Linked DNA regions of Macaca fascicularis. The protein of the gene in region 3 interacts with the protein of the main gene of each other region in a biochemical or structural test. Links are inferred from orthologs where the notes say so. Each region holds a gene or a part of one and is shown on either strand. Other genes may lie near its edges. The genes, in order: SRF, CSRP3 and MYOG.

What was found.
Region 1: the proteins of MYOG (region 3) and SRF form a complex in vitro, tested with the Homo sapiens proteins (2 studies listed by BioGRID and IntAct). The link is inferred for Macaca fascicularis from reciprocal best matches to the Homo sapiens genes MYOG and SRF.
Region 2: the proteins of MYOG (region 3) and CSRP3 form a complex in vitro, tested with the Homo sapiens proteins (2 studies listed by BioGRID and IntAct, with this or other methods). The link is inferred for Macaca fascicularis from reciprocal best matches to the Homo sapiens genes MYOG and CSRP3.

Annotation. Positions count from the first base shown.
Region 1 is NC_088378.1:128,359,896-128,364,496, forward strand, and holds the start of SRF (serum response factor), read right to left. Parts: upstream 2,937-4,601; 5' UTR 2,551-2,936; coding exon 2,038-2,550; intron 1,810-2,037; exon of another isoform or gene 1,742-1,809; coding exon of another isoform or gene 1,628-1,741; intron 354-1,627; coding exon 87-353; intron 1-86. UniProt on the Homo sapiens protein: SRF is a transcription factor that binds to the serum response element (SRE), a short sequence of dyad symmetry located 300 bp to the 5' of the site of transcription initiation of some genes (such as FOS).
Region 2 is NC_088388.1:46,509,013-46,513,811, forward strand, and holds the start of CSRP3 (cysteine and glycine-rich protein 3), read left to right. Parts: upstream 1-1,689; 5' UTR 1,690-1,719; intron 1,720-3,956; exon of another isoform or gene 3,957-4,101; intron 4,102-4,799. UniProt on the Homo sapiens protein: Positive regulator of myogenesis. Acts as a cofactor for myogenic bHLH transcription factors such as MYOD1, and probably MYOG and MYF6.
Region 3 is NC_088375.1:60,896,339-60,901,192, reverse strand, and holds the start of MYOG (myogenin), read left to right. Parts: upstream 1-1,972; 5' UTR 1,973-2,024; coding exon 2,025-2,495; intron 2,496-3,268; coding exon 3,269-3,350; intron 3,351-3,422; exon of another isoform or gene 3,423-3,593; intron 3,594-3,940; coding exon 3,941-4,089; 3' UTR 4,090-4,854. UniProt on the Homo sapiens protein: Acts as a transcriptional activator that promotes transcription of muscle-specific target genes and plays a role in muscle differentiation, cell cycle exit and muscle atrophy.

The DNA.
Region 1 (4,601 bases), on a different chromosome or scaffold from region 3:
GTGGGTACCTATCCACCTGCCCTGGGCCAGAAAGAGAGAGGGACCCCCCTCCCTTCCCTCCTCTCACATAGGCAACCCAAACACACCTTGGTCTCCCCACTGCTGTCAGACTCCGACACCTGGTAGGTGAGATCTGTCTCTTCAAAGCCAGTGGCACTCATTCTCTGGTCTGTTGTGGGGTCTGAGCGGGGTGGAGAGTCTGGAGAGTTGAGGCAGGTCTGAATCAGTGCCTTGCCGGTCTCACTGGTGATCATGGGCTGCAGTTTTCGTGTGGCAAAGGTATACACATGGCCTGTCTCACTGGCCACCAGCAACAGCACCTGTGTCCCTGTCAGCGTGGACAGCTCATAGGCCTGAGGGGTGAGGACGGAGATGGGCAGGTCAGCAAACTTTTTATCTCTACCTTCTTTGAGAAGTTGGAAAAAGAATTATATAGTGATGTCATTCCCCCATTCCCATAATGACCTTCGTCTCTAGTGATTCTGGGGGCAGGGTGTCCTATCAGGATCTCTGGAAGCAGCAAAACTACCAATGCTCCTCCTTTGAGGAGCAGCCCCATTGACCTGAAGATACCCCAAGCAAACAGTAATAGCCTCCCAGTGATGGAACATATAACCTCAGGGGATACGGAAGGACTCAGCTATAGCTGCTCCCCAACGCAGCTTAGTGCCTGGAAAGTCCCGGAGCCTCAACCATTCTCACTGTCACAGGGACCAGGATGGATCCCTACCTATCACACTGGAATTTGCACATTAGTGATAAGGGACCACTTAAGCTCCAACTGTCCCATGTTTCTTTCCAGAAACTGCACAGGCTCCAACTTGTTGCCATAGCCTAGTTTCTCCTGTTGTCCTGTAATACTTTACTGCCTTTTTTACTTTGTCTTGGGAAGAAGGTTATGGAAGGGGAGAAGAGAATTTTCCTTCATTAACTACCTCCCCCCACAACCTTCTCCACTGATGATCAAGTGACAAGGGACATTGATACAACAGTGTCTAGAGTGAGGGGAGACGAGACCTAGATTAGCACTAAACATCCTGCCATGAGCCCAGGAAGGGGACCTTCAAGGATGGCCCCACAGATGCCATACTCTCCCAACAAAGTTCTACGAACCACCTTGGAAGCAGCTCTGGTTTCTACATGGGACAGAAATAAACACCAGCCAATGTTCCCAAGGATCCAGCTACTTGTCTCCCAATTCTTCTGCTTTCATCCCTTCCCTTATCATCTACACCCCAAAATGACTCTTTTCCTCACCACTTTTCACTGGCTGGCAGAAGAGGAATTCCTAGGTACCTCTGCAAGCCTCCCCGATTTCCCCCAAACCCCATCCATGCATAGATTCTCCCTAGGGCTGGAAACCCCACTTGTCCTAACGGCAGGAGATTCTGCAGCGGGTCCTGCCAGGAGCAGCATGTGGTTCCCAGCGGATGCCATGGAACACTCACGGCCGGCGCGGGACTAGGTTCCTGCTGCTCAGGGCAGCACCAGTTCTCCTGCCCCGCTCCCTTACCTGGTCCCTAACCCTGCCTGTCCTTCCAACCAGCACTACTCTCGTGGTGCCCATTTCCTCCCACACATGCTCGCTCATTGTTGTCATGCAGCTCCAGCCTCCTCACCTCCATACCTTCTCGTTTGCTCCCTGCTTTTCCAGCGCCCTCCTCCAAACACCGGAGTGCACTGGACCTACTGATCCCGGCTTCTCATTATTCACCTCCCCGGCAGCCTCGCAGCCTCCCATGACCGCTCCTCAAACCTCCACTCAACAAGGGCCCTCCTTCCTCTCTCGCGCCGGTCACTCCCACCTCTGCGCCTTTCCCCAAGGTTCCCGGCGTTCGCGGGATCTCCCCTCTCCCCACATTTCCCCGGCGGCCCCTCCCCTTCGGCCCTCCCCGGGTAGGAGCCATCCCCTCCCACACACCTCCTGCGGACTCGCCGCCTCTCACCTCCGCCTCGGCTCTGCCGTCCTCCCGGGCTCCCCTTGCGCATCCCCACCCTTCCCGGGCCCCGGGGCCAGCCAGCCCGCCGGCTTGGTACCTTCTTCATGATGCCCGTCTTCCTCTTGCTGAAGGTCGTGTAGCGCCGCAGCTTGTTGTCGATGAACTCCATCTTGATCTTCACGCGGCCCCGGGTCTTCTTACCCGGCTTGGCCCCGCTCACCGCGCCGCTCACCGGCCCGTAGCCCCCGGTGGCCGCCGCCGACGCCTCGGGCCCACCGACCACCATACCGATCTCCATCTCGCTCAGGCTCCGCTTCATGCCGCGCCGCTCGGCGCCCAGCTCCTCCTCCTCGCCCGACTCCGAGTCGCCCTCGCTGCCGCTGTAGAGGGCCCCCGCGGTGGGCGCCGGGGTGGTTGCCGCCGCTGCCGCAGCCTCCCGCTCCAGGCGGCCGGGCCCGAGCCCCGCGCCATTCCCGGGGACCCGGCCCCCGTTAGCCCCACGAGTCCCGCCGCCGCTGCCCGGCCGCCCCGTCGGGGTCCGGTTCAGGCTGCCCCCCAGGGCCGAGCCCCGGCCCAGAGCCGCCGCGGCCCCAGCTTGGCTCGGTAACATGGCGCTCGATGCAGGAGGGCGGACGGGCAGTCAGCGAGGAATCGGAGCCGCAGCCGCCGCCATCGGCTTCCCGGCTCAACCCGGCACTCCCGCTGCTGCTAGTGCCGCTATCGCTGCCGCGGCAGCCGCTGCGAACCCGGGGCCCCTGCACGCCCGGGCCGACCTGGGCCCTCACTTTCCTGCCCCTGTGGCCCGGGTTGCCCCAGGCCGCGCGCAGCGCCCCCTGTCCGTCTGCTAGGGCGGCGCGCCCGGCGGCCTTCAGCGTCCCCCGGGGGGCAGGGGCTGCTGGCCGCGGCCGAGACGGCGGGTGGAGGGGGCCGGGACCACGCGCTGGCGGCGGAGGGATCCCCCGACCCTTCCCCCCATATAAAGAGATACAATGTTTCCTTTTATGGCGAGGCCGCTCCTTATATGGTGAGCCCCAGCGCCCCCGCCCCATTGGTCCATGGTTCCGGCACCTCCGCTCCCCATTGGCCCGCAGGGGAGCGCTTATTTGCATAGACATACCAAACTCGTTCCTGTCCTCTCGCGTCAGACCGCGACTCCGAGAGGGGTGGAGCCGACGCCTCTTAAAGGAACCGGAGAGCAGGCGCGACTCCGCCTCCCTGAACCCGAGAATGATAGAACGGTTTGGGAAGCACCCGCGGAGAAGTAGCCTGGGACTGGAGCGCAGTCTTGCGGAAGAGAGGGAGCAGCACTAGGAAATGGGCTCCAGCACCGGGACCGCTGGAGACAAACACTGGGGAAACCCCTAGGTGGATTGTGGGGTTTGCAGTCAATTAAAAAAATACAGCCCAAATTCCAAGGGAGGAGTGCAGGGATTGATTGGAGCATTTCCTCACGCCTTCCTAAGGGAGGCACAGTTATTGGCTGAGCGGAGGGAGCTTGGATCCCCGGTGTCCAGACTCGTAGCACCCCAGCCGCTCAGCTCTAACTTTTCCCCTCCCCCCAACTTCCCCTCCCTTTCCCTTGCTTTTGTAGGCGACGACACTTTCCCACCAGGCTGGCTCGCGGGTCCTCATTCATCATCCTCTGCACTGGGGGGTCTTTGGCAGACATACATCTGGAAAAGGCGGGTGGAGGGGAGGGCGAGAGACAGAGATCGGTCTCCCAGTCCCGAGGCGGGCAGGGAGGAGAGACGGAGATCATTGAAGACTTCCAGCTGCAGGCTGGGCTGGGGGAGGGGGGCGTCCCGAGGATAAAGCCCACCCTACAGCCAGTGCAAAGACGGGAAATTGTGGCCCGACAGAAAGTTTATGCAAGCAAGCACGCTCACGCACACACACGCACCTACACACCCTTCTCTGGAAAGCCCGTTGGAGAAAGAAAAAAAAAGTTTCAGACAGGGTATCGCTCAGTCGCCCAACCTGGAGTGCAGTGGTGTGATCTGAGCTCATTGCAACCTCCGCCTCCCGGGTTCAAGCGATTCTCCCACCTCTGCCTCTCACGTAGCTGGGACTACAGGTGCGCGCCACCACTCGGGCCTAATTTTTGTATTTTTTGTAGAGATGGGGTTTTGCCATGTTGCCCAGACTGGTCTCGAACTCCTGGCATCAAGCTATCCTTCACCCTCGGCTTCCCAAAGTGCCGGGATTATAGGCATGAACCACTGTGCCTGGCAGAAAAAAAAAAAAAAATTACTTAAAGAATAGAACTGGGGTGCTGCAAAGTGAGGTTCAAGCTCTGGGTCTGGATCTTTTCTCCAAAGCAGTGAAAATAGCATGGACTTTGCTGTTACCGAATTATTTAAATCTGGAATCTGCCTCTTGGTAAGCCCTGTGCCTGGAAACAAGTGACAAGTGATCTGATCACTCCAAACGCAATATTAATCAATGTTGCTATCCATTCCATGAGATTTTTTTTTCTTTTTCTTTTTCTTTTTTTTTTTTTTTGAGACAGAGTCTCACTCTGTCACCCAGGCTGGAGTGCACTGGCACGATCTCGACTCACTGCAACTTCTGCCTCTCCAGTTCAAGCGATTCTCCTGCTGCCTCAGCTTCCCAAATAGCTGGGATTACAGGTGCCCGCCATCACACCCGACTATTTTGTAT
Region 2 (4,799 bases), on a different chromosome or scaffold from region 3:
ACCCCACAACAGGCCCTGGAGTGTGATGTTCCCCTCTCTGTGTCCATGTGTTCTCATTATTCAACTCCCACTTACGAGTGGAAGCTCCTCTTTTATCTGCTTTATATACTGATGTTCCTCTTAAGATTATCTACAGAAAAAAGTATTCTAATGCAAACACGCACACAAAAAAAATTTTAAAGCTACTATTGGTTGGCCAGGTACAGTGGCTCAAGCCTGTAATCTCAGCACGTTGAGACGTAGGCAGATCACTTGAACCCAAAGTTCGAGACCAGCCTGGGCAAAATGGTGAAACCACATCCCTACAAAAAAATTACCCAGGAGTGCTAGTGTGTGACTGTAGTCCCAACTACTTGGGAGGCTGAGATGGGAGGATTGCTTGAGCCCAGGATGTGGAGGCTGCAGTGAGCTGTGATCATGCCACTGCACTCTAGCTTAGGTGGCAGAACGAGATCCTTTCTCTAAACAAAGAAACAAACAAACAAATAAAAGCCACTATCCTAGACGATTTCTAAAGTCCTTTGTAGCTTTAACTTTCTAAGATCCTCATGATTGCCTCGTCTCTATGATGAAGATGCCATTCAGTGAAAACACAGACCGAGGATATCTCATAGGAGCCTATACCACGGCTGTCTTTGTGAAATTGCCACAACCTTCTTGACAGTGAAATATTCTGTCATTCAACCAATTGCTTTGTGAGCAGGTAACTGAAGGGCTAATATTGGGTGTGAGGGCTGGATCATAAACCTCCAGGTTGGGTTCTACATGCACCTTACCTCAACATCCGGGTCAACACGAGTGAAAGGTGCTCGGTGCCTCAGTTTCCTCATCTATAACACGAAGAATTGGTCTTCACATCTCTGAACCTCTTGTCAGCTTTTCAATGCTATAATTTATATCAGTCCCTGGTGCTTGATCAAATCTAAACTGTGTGAATTCCAGGCAAAGAGAAATTAGACCTCCAAAGAAAATATGGGTCTACAGAGACATGTCGAGACGTTATAAATATAATGTGATGATGATAAATATGCACTGCTGTGTCACATTCTTAAACAGAAAAAGACAATAACAAAGTAACTCAAAACTTTTTAGAGAAAATTTCGTTTCCTAGGATAGATGGAGCAACAGGTTCCAAGTGATGTGCCAACCTTTTTTTCCCCAAGCTTCTTTGAAGAGATTATCTAAGTATCGTTTCAGACACCCATCACCCTTATTTTTAGCTCTGAGTTCTCTTCACGAGTGTGGTGACCTGGGGCTCTGAGTTCCAGAGGCTCCCAGATATGGCACATGACTCATTTGGAGGTACCTTGCATTGATTTCCAGGAAGGTCAGTGGGGTGGGGGCCTGGAGAAATGATTTTCAGTGTTAAACCCCTAGCTCTTGTTCCTGTTCCAACCACTTGATCAGAAATGACACACTTCATAAATTGATCCCTTGGTGCCATAAGCAATTGGCAGTGAAAATAGAACCCAAGTGATATGGTTCTCCAAGAGGCTCACAGCTGGCTGGGGGGTTGGGGGAGACAAAACTCAGGGCTTTGGTCACAGGCTATTTTCAGCCTCTGATAGCAGTTGTGTTACTCACGTCTCATTCACCCTCTCCCTCGGCCTCCCTCCTGCCCTTCCTCCAGCAGGCCAAGGCTGGTGACAGCCTTCATATATTTAAAGAGGACAAGAGCCCCTCAGACTCAGTTGAGCTGAACGGAAACTACACAGGCAGGTGAGTGGAGCGAGATAGACATTCGGGCTGGAGGTGGGTTGGTTCTGTGGCTGGTTTGGACTGCAAAGGGTCCTATAGAGTAAGGGCACATCTCACACCTCAAGCGCCAGCACCCTGTCTGGTTCTGTGCAAGGAGATTCAAGTTGTGCTTGACTCTGGTGTGGACCTAGCAGGTAGTAAAAAATTCCTGCAAGGATGGTTAATATTTGGGGGGCTTAAGGGACCTCACAGGCAGATAAATGAGTAAGGGGTTATTCTCATTATAAAATTACTTATGTGGTGGAATTACGTTTCCTGTCGTCGTTGTTGAAACAACTGGAAAGCGGGAGGAAATAATGCAAAGTCTGCTGACCTTCTAGTCCTACAACCACCACATAATTCGTGGATGACAGACTTTGAGAAGGTTCCTGCCCTCTGGGGCTTGGTCTCCCCTTCTGCAAGGATCAATATAAATTGGCGACGTTTTTCCTAACTGTAAAGTACTGCACAGATACAAAGCGATAAGCGATTGTACTAGATGCAATATATCAGACAGCTTTCCCATGCTCAAATTAGCTGGAATTGTGTTATTCAAAAGGTCATGGTGAATGACTGAGATTTTGGGCTTGTTGATTTTAAATCGATTTTTGTATCCCAAAGATGTTCAGCAACAAATTTGCTTTTAATCATTTGAAATTAATCAAAACTGGACCCCAAAAAGACATTGCTATGTTGAAATATATTAAAAGCTCTATTAAATGGGAGGGATAGTTCAGCCAGTGGTCAGGATTCCCATTGTTTCCTCTAGGTTTTAGTCAAGGACTTTTTAAAATATCCCAGTGAATGACAGACATAGGTGTGACTGAGAATAAGAAGTGGTATTAAGCAATGGTCTGAGTGGAAATGCTGCTGAAAGATCCAAGCTGCTGCCTCTAACTTCTGCCCTGTTCCTTAACCAAGGTGCTGACTCCTCCAAGAAGGAGGACTTGAGTTACTGGTCTGAGGAACCTTGTCTCTGCTATACAATTCAATGTAATTTAATAAGCATGTATGGATCATCTCCTATGTCAGGGCTGGAGGGAGGTAGAGGCAGCTCTATGCAGGGAAGGGTGAACATAAACAGCAAGAAGAGTGGGGAATTGGGGATGGCCTGTGTCCTCAGTTTATATCTGGGATTGAATCTCAATGCTGGGTACATCCAATTCATCACAATGCATGTAGAACTGCTTTCCAACCCAGAAAATGTGAGGGCGTCTTCTAACTTGGCTTTGGTCCCTTTCTGAACAACTTGGTCGTTTGTGGTCGGTGGCAATGAGCCCAGGCTATTGGGCAGGAGGTAGCTGAGTCCCTGGGGTTCAGGCAGACAGGTGCTCTGCAGCCCAGACACATATGTCATCCATCAGACAGAAGAGACACAGGGCAGTGGGCAAGGAAGAGAGGGAGGGAAGGAGAGAAGGAGGGAAGGAAAGAGAAAAGGAGGGAGGGCGGAAGGGAGAAAGAGAGGAGGGAAGGAAGAGGGAGCCGCAGCAGCATTCAGCCGTCAAATAGCCAAAATCCCCTTGGAGGAAGTGGAGACAGAATCTTGATAGAATACAAACTCAGAAATCCTGGGAACTTCAAGAAGAAAATAAAGATAATTGGTTATAGAGCCAGTTCAAATTATAGCTCTGAATATCACTTAACTTCTCTGAGTTTCCATTTTCTGAACAATAAAATTAAGGATAGGCTATCTCTATCAAAGGAATGTGTAAGAATTGAATGAGATAAAGTACAGGAGAGTACTTTTGTGAAGTTTAATATAACCGTACAATTATGTGAGGCCGTTGAGAAAAGGCATACAGCCAAACCCAATGGGTTTTGGGAGGGTTTCCTGCTAAGTACAAGCGTGCTGATAAAAGTCCAGAGGTCAGAGTGGGTAAGAAGCTGACCAGGAGTTAGAAGATAATTAATTTGTTTTACAAGAGGAAAGACCCAGAGCTAGGAATATAATACACAGCAAATACAAGTCCCGAGGCAGGCAGATTTCCAGTTACAAGTGTGCTGTTCAGATATCTGTGAATAAATACTGTATAGAGGGCTGGGCTTCATAGTCAAAGAGAAATGTGATGCCTGCAAATGTGAAAAACTGCAGTTATTCATCCCAGTGAAGAATGGCAGGAAGGGAGACAGTAATGATCTTGAAGGGCATGGAGGATGGAGCCTTTTCTGAGCTTTACGGTGGGAAAGGGTTGATCATGAGCTGATGGTTGTTTCTGGCCCTGGGCAGGTGTGGAACAAGTACTGCCTTACTTAGGGGTCACAAAAAGTTCTGCAAAACTCATTTTTCAGAGGAAGAAACTAAAGTTCAAGAAAGCGTAGGAATTGCCCAGCATCACACGGCCGAGAAAGCGGCAGAGCCAGGAGGTAAACTGGGATATGATGTGATCTTTAAAAATAAATTGTGGAGGTCAAAATAGGACAAAGAGTGAGTTTTGGGGAGTAAAAGTTGGCCACACTTCAGATGTAATTTCAGAAAAGGTGTAAGATGCCCATGTTCTACAGCCTTCATTTAATGTGTGTCTACCATGTCTGAGTTTAAAAGGGGGTGAGAGCCAACAGTCGGATTTATTTCCATGCTGGCAATGAGCAACCTGTGCTTCCTGGGCTCTGTAAAAGGGCCTCTGGCTGGAGGACGTCATATATCTGGGTTCAGAAGCTCAGGAGGAAGCAGCCACTGACCTTGAATGTCCTACACCGAGAACTGAAGGGCATGAGCTTCCCTGGGCCACAGGGCTCCTGGCTGGGCATGCTGCCTCCAACCCAATCCAACAATGCAAGGGGGCCGGCCGACTCTCACCCTGAACTGGGCACACCTGTCCCGGGTCATGGCACACTCCGAAGGCTGAAAAACAAACCTGATTCACAGTCTGAACCAGAAGAGCCATGGAGAACAAGCAGGGAGTGAGTTGTTTATTCTAACAGAACGGACTTGAAAACTGGAGATAGAGTAATAAAAACAATAACAGTCATGATGCAAGTAACTACAATTATTCAATTCCTGCTAGGTATTAAGTAATTATATATAGTGTCTCAGCCATTATTATCTTCTTTAACCTGAAAAC
Region 3 (4,854 bases):
GAGTAGCTGGGATTACAGGTGCCTACCACCATGTCCGGGTAATTTTTGTATTTTTAGTAGAGACGAGGTTTCACCATCTTGGCCAGGCTGGTCTTGAACTCCTGACCTCATGATCCACCGGCCTCGGCCTCCCATACTGCTGGGATTACAGGTATGAGCCACCACACCCAGTCTATGCTGCTACTTTCTATCATGCTGGTAAGGCCAAGAACAGAATTAAGACCTCACTGTTCTCCCTCAACATGCTTAGGGCTCTTTTATTGTTCAGCTATGTTCCCTCCTTCCCCCCGTTTCCTATCCCAAAAGGACATCAGAATTCTCCTGGCTCCCTGCTGTGAACAATGAGAGGAAGGAACACTGGTTCTTCACATGCTGCACAGATCTCATCTCCCTTGTAATCTCCCCTGAGTCCCCAGCAGAGTTCCCCTTCCTCTCATTGTCCTTGCCACCGGCTTGAACTTGTCATTTTGATCTGTCATAGGATGAGGAGCAGGACAGATCAGACTTGGTCTATGGGGCCTAAGGGAAAAAACTAGGAACAAAGGGTAAAAGATAGAGGGAGAAGATTGCAGCTCAAAGCTGCACGTCAATGGAACGGGCTGTCTCCTGACGTGAGCAGAAGCTGAACAGTGGTTGCCTGGGAGGAGATTCGGTCATCAGGGGCTAGGTAGAAAGAGGTGACCACCATTGTCTACCAGATGGTAAGGTCAAGGGCAGGGACCCTGTCTGGGGTGTCCCTATAATCCCCAGCCCTAAGACTGAGCCTTGTTCACTGCTGGTGTCTGAGGTCTGCCCACTGCATTGGAAAGAATTTGTCCTCTCAGACCCTGAGGCACCTACTGAGAGGTGACCATGGCCTGAGAGGCCCGAAGATTATACAGTCCCTGCTCCACCTGACATTTGAGACCTGCATGATACATGTAAAATTGATGGCTCAGATGAAGAGGCAGAACAACCAAGCCCGATGGCCAAGGAGAGAAGAGATTTAAACTGAGTTTGAAGGGCTCTGTTTTTTCTCCTTTTTCACCCCCATCCACAGTAATGAGTCAGGAAAATTCTGGTGTTGGAAAAAGAGTTGAGGAGGTAACATAGAAGGACAGATCAATGGTCCGGAGTGAGACAGGGAGGAGACAGGGAGCTTAGTACATCTTGACCTTGCGGCTCTGGGGAAGGTGGCACGTGTAAGCTGTAAATTCTAATCTCTGCTCTGACCACGGCCGCTGTATTAAAGAGAAAATTTCTCTTGACCCCTGCCAAGAAAACCAAAACCCAAATAATTTCTCTTGCCTCAACTTACCCCCCATCACATGAGACCTAAGAGAACATACAGGTCAGAGCTGCTTGGGAACCCCAAAAGTGGAATCTATTAGCTGCTCTGAGTCTTGATCCCTTTTATCCCCGGATACTGAGTGCCCATGAATGCCCAGAATCTGAAGCAGTCCCATTCTTTCGGGAGGGAGGTCTTTAAGAGTCTCATCGACTGATGTAGTGTGGTTAAGGTGCTGTCAGGAAGCAGGGAGATGGATAAGTTGGCTCTTAAGGCCTCTTCCAGCCTAAGCCTACCCTTCCTTGTTCCCTCCTCCCCCTACACCCACCAGCTTCTTGGGGACTAGCAAGGAGAGAGCAGGCAGGCCGCCCAGCTAGGAGTAATTGAAAGGAGCAGATGAGAGGGGAATGTGTCCTCCCCCAATGCCCCTGCCCCACAGGGGCTGCTGAGAAATGAAAACTAATCAAATTACACCCGACGGCCTCCCGACCCGTGCACAGGAGCCCGCCTGGGCCAGGGACAGGCTGGCTGGGTGGGGTGGGGGCCATGGGGGAGAGAGAAGGGGAATCACATCTAATCCACTGTAAACGTCTTGATGTGCAGCAACAGCTTAGAGGGGGCTCAGGTTTCTGTGGCGTTGGCTATATTTATCTCTGGTTCCATGCCAGCGGGGAGGGTTTAAATGGCACCCAGCAGTTGGCGTGAGGGGCTGCAGGAGCTTGGGGTCTGGTGGCAGGAACAAGCCTTTTCTGACCCCATGGAGCTGTATGAGACATCCCCCTACTTCTACCAGGAACCCCGCTTCTATGACGGGGAAAACTACCTGCCTGTCCACCTCCAGGGCTTCGAGCCACCAGGCTATGAGCGGACGGAGCTCACCCTGAGCCCCGAGACCCCAGGGCCCCTCGAAGACAAGGGGCTGGGCACCCCCGAGCACTGTCCGGGCCAGTGCCTTCCGTGGGCGTGTAAGGTGTGTAAGAGGAAGTCGGTGTCCGTGGACCGGCGGCGGGCGGCCACACTGAGGGAGAAGCGCAGGCTCAAGAAGGTGAATGAGGCCTTCGAGGCCCTGAAGAGGAGCACCCTGCTCAACCCCAACCAGCGGCTGCCCAAGGTGGAGATCCTGCGCAGCGCCATCCAATACATCGAGCGCCTCCAGACCCTGCTCAGCTCCCTCAACCAGGAGGAGCGTGACCTCCGCTACCGGGGCGGGGGTGGGCCCCAGCCAGGGGTAAGTGGCCATCCCGTCCCCCTGCCCCAGGGGGAGGGGGCCAGAGGGAGGCACCTGGACAGCCTCAAGACCCCAAGAGGGGCTCAGAGGGTTGGAGCAGGTGCCAGACAGGGTCGAGGGGCTTCAGGAGCCCTTCCCTGGTCAGAGCTGGGCTATCCAGCTGACCCCCTGTGTCCTGTGTTCTTTCCAGAGGAGATAGAGGCAGTGAGGAGGAAGTGCAGAAAGGGTGGGGGTGGGGAACACAGGACTGAAGAAAGGATCAGGAGCAAGGCCACAGTCAGCCCGGGTAAGGGTGAGGATTAATCGCAGAGCCTGAGTCAGAGCCTAAAAAGCCAGGCCAAGTTCACCAGAGAAGGCTGCTTTGCCCCCTGCCCCACCCCCATCCTGGGTGTGGCTGAGCAGAGAGAAAACCCACTCAGTCTCATTGGAACTCCAGCAGGCCTGCACAGAGTGACCTTCACTGGGCCAGAAAATCTGTCTCCATCACCCTTATCACCAGAGTCAGGAGAACCAGGGACCTTTAACCTGGGGTCCTGTGAGGGCAGAACCACCACTCAGGATGGAAGCCAAGAAGGCCTGGAAGCAGGGCCTCTAGGACATGAGAGGAGCTGGTTACTAAGATTCTGGGGTTGGGGATGGCCTGGGCTGGAAGGCCACAGCCTGTGGCCCACCCTCCAACCCCACCACAGGTGCTTCTGCCCACTGGGACTAGGCAGAGAGACACATCAAAGAACGGCTGTGCCCCGACCTTGGGCCTTCGCCCTGTCTTGCAGGTGCCCAGCGAATGCAGCTCTCACAGCGCCTCCTGCAGTCCAGAGTGGGGCAGCGCACTGGAGTTCGGCGCCAACCCCGGGGGTAAGTGAGGCTTGACCCTGGTAACCTTGACTCCAATCCCTCAGTCCCTCCCTGGGCGTTCTTCCCTCTTACCTTATTCCTTGCTCCGGTCCTCTTCCCTTGGGTCTCTCCAGGGACCTGCTGACTCCAGGACCCAAAGGGTGGGCTGGGAGGTTCTGTGTAGCCCTGCAGTCTTGACCAGCAAAGGAGTGATAGTGGCTCCTGCAGCTCCCCAGCTGATGCCTGGTGGTTGACCTTCTCCACAGAGAGGACAATGTCCCTGCCCCAGGGGTCTCTGCGAAGTGCTGAGTCAGTGCTGCAAAACCGGGCCGAGCAAAGGGCAGGTCCAGTCTCTGGGGAGCTCCATCCTGCTCCAACTTGAGTGACTGCTTCCAAACCCTACCTCACTAGGGGAGTTCAGAGAAGAGGCGCGCGCGCGCACACACACACACACACACACACACACACACACACACACACAGCATGGGGAAAGGCAGGGACTAGGGAGTAGAACTCCGGAGCTTTATCCCCCATCTGTCCTGGAAAACCTGTGTCACCCCAAGGGTCCCATCCTCTATTCTGGGCCTCAAGAACCCCCACTCCTCACCCAGGTACCACCTTCCCACCTCCCCTTACAGATCATCTGCTCACGGCTGACCCTACAGATGCCCACAACCTGCACTCCCTCACCTCCATCGTGGACAGCATCACAGTGGAAGATGTGTCTGTGGCCTTCCCAGATGAAACCATGCCCAACTGAGATTGTCTGCCAAGCCAGGCATCCTTGCAAGCCCCCCAAGCTGACCACAGATGCCACTGCTTCTGTAGCAGGGGCCTCCTAAGCCAGGCTGCCCTGATGCTAGGAAGCCAGCTCTGGGGTGCCATAGGCCAGACTATCCCCTTCCTCATCCATGTAAGGTTAACCCACCCCCCAGCAAGGTACTGGATGCCCTCATTCAGCTGCCTCCTTAGAGGACAGGGCATCCCCTTTCCAGGAAGGTAAAGCAGGGGACCAGAGCGCCCCCTCATGTATGCCCCAGTTCAGGGGGCAAACTCAGGAGTTTCCTTTTTATCATAACATGGCCTCTAATTCCACCCCCTAAGTGAAACAGTTTGAGAGACACAGACAGTGTCCTGACCTGGACAAGCTGTGCACGTCTCCTGTTCTGGTCTCTTCCCGATGCCAGTGGCTGGGCTGGGCCTGCCCTGAATTGAGAGAAAAGAAAGGGAGAGAAACAATCCTCTGTTCCCAAGTCCCTGGGGGGCCAAACTTTTGCAGTGAATATTGGGAACCTTCCAGTGGTTTTATGTTTTGTTTTGTTTTGTGTGTTGTTTGTAAAGCTGCCATCTGACCAAGGTCTCCTGTGCTGAAGTTGCCGGGGACAGGCAGGGAAAGGGGGTTGGGGGCTCTTGGGGGTGATTTCTTTTGTTAACTAAGCATCGTGTGGTTTTGCCATTGTTTTGTATTTTTTTTTTTTTTTTTGCTAACTTATTTGGATTTCCTTTTTTAAAAAATGAATAAAGA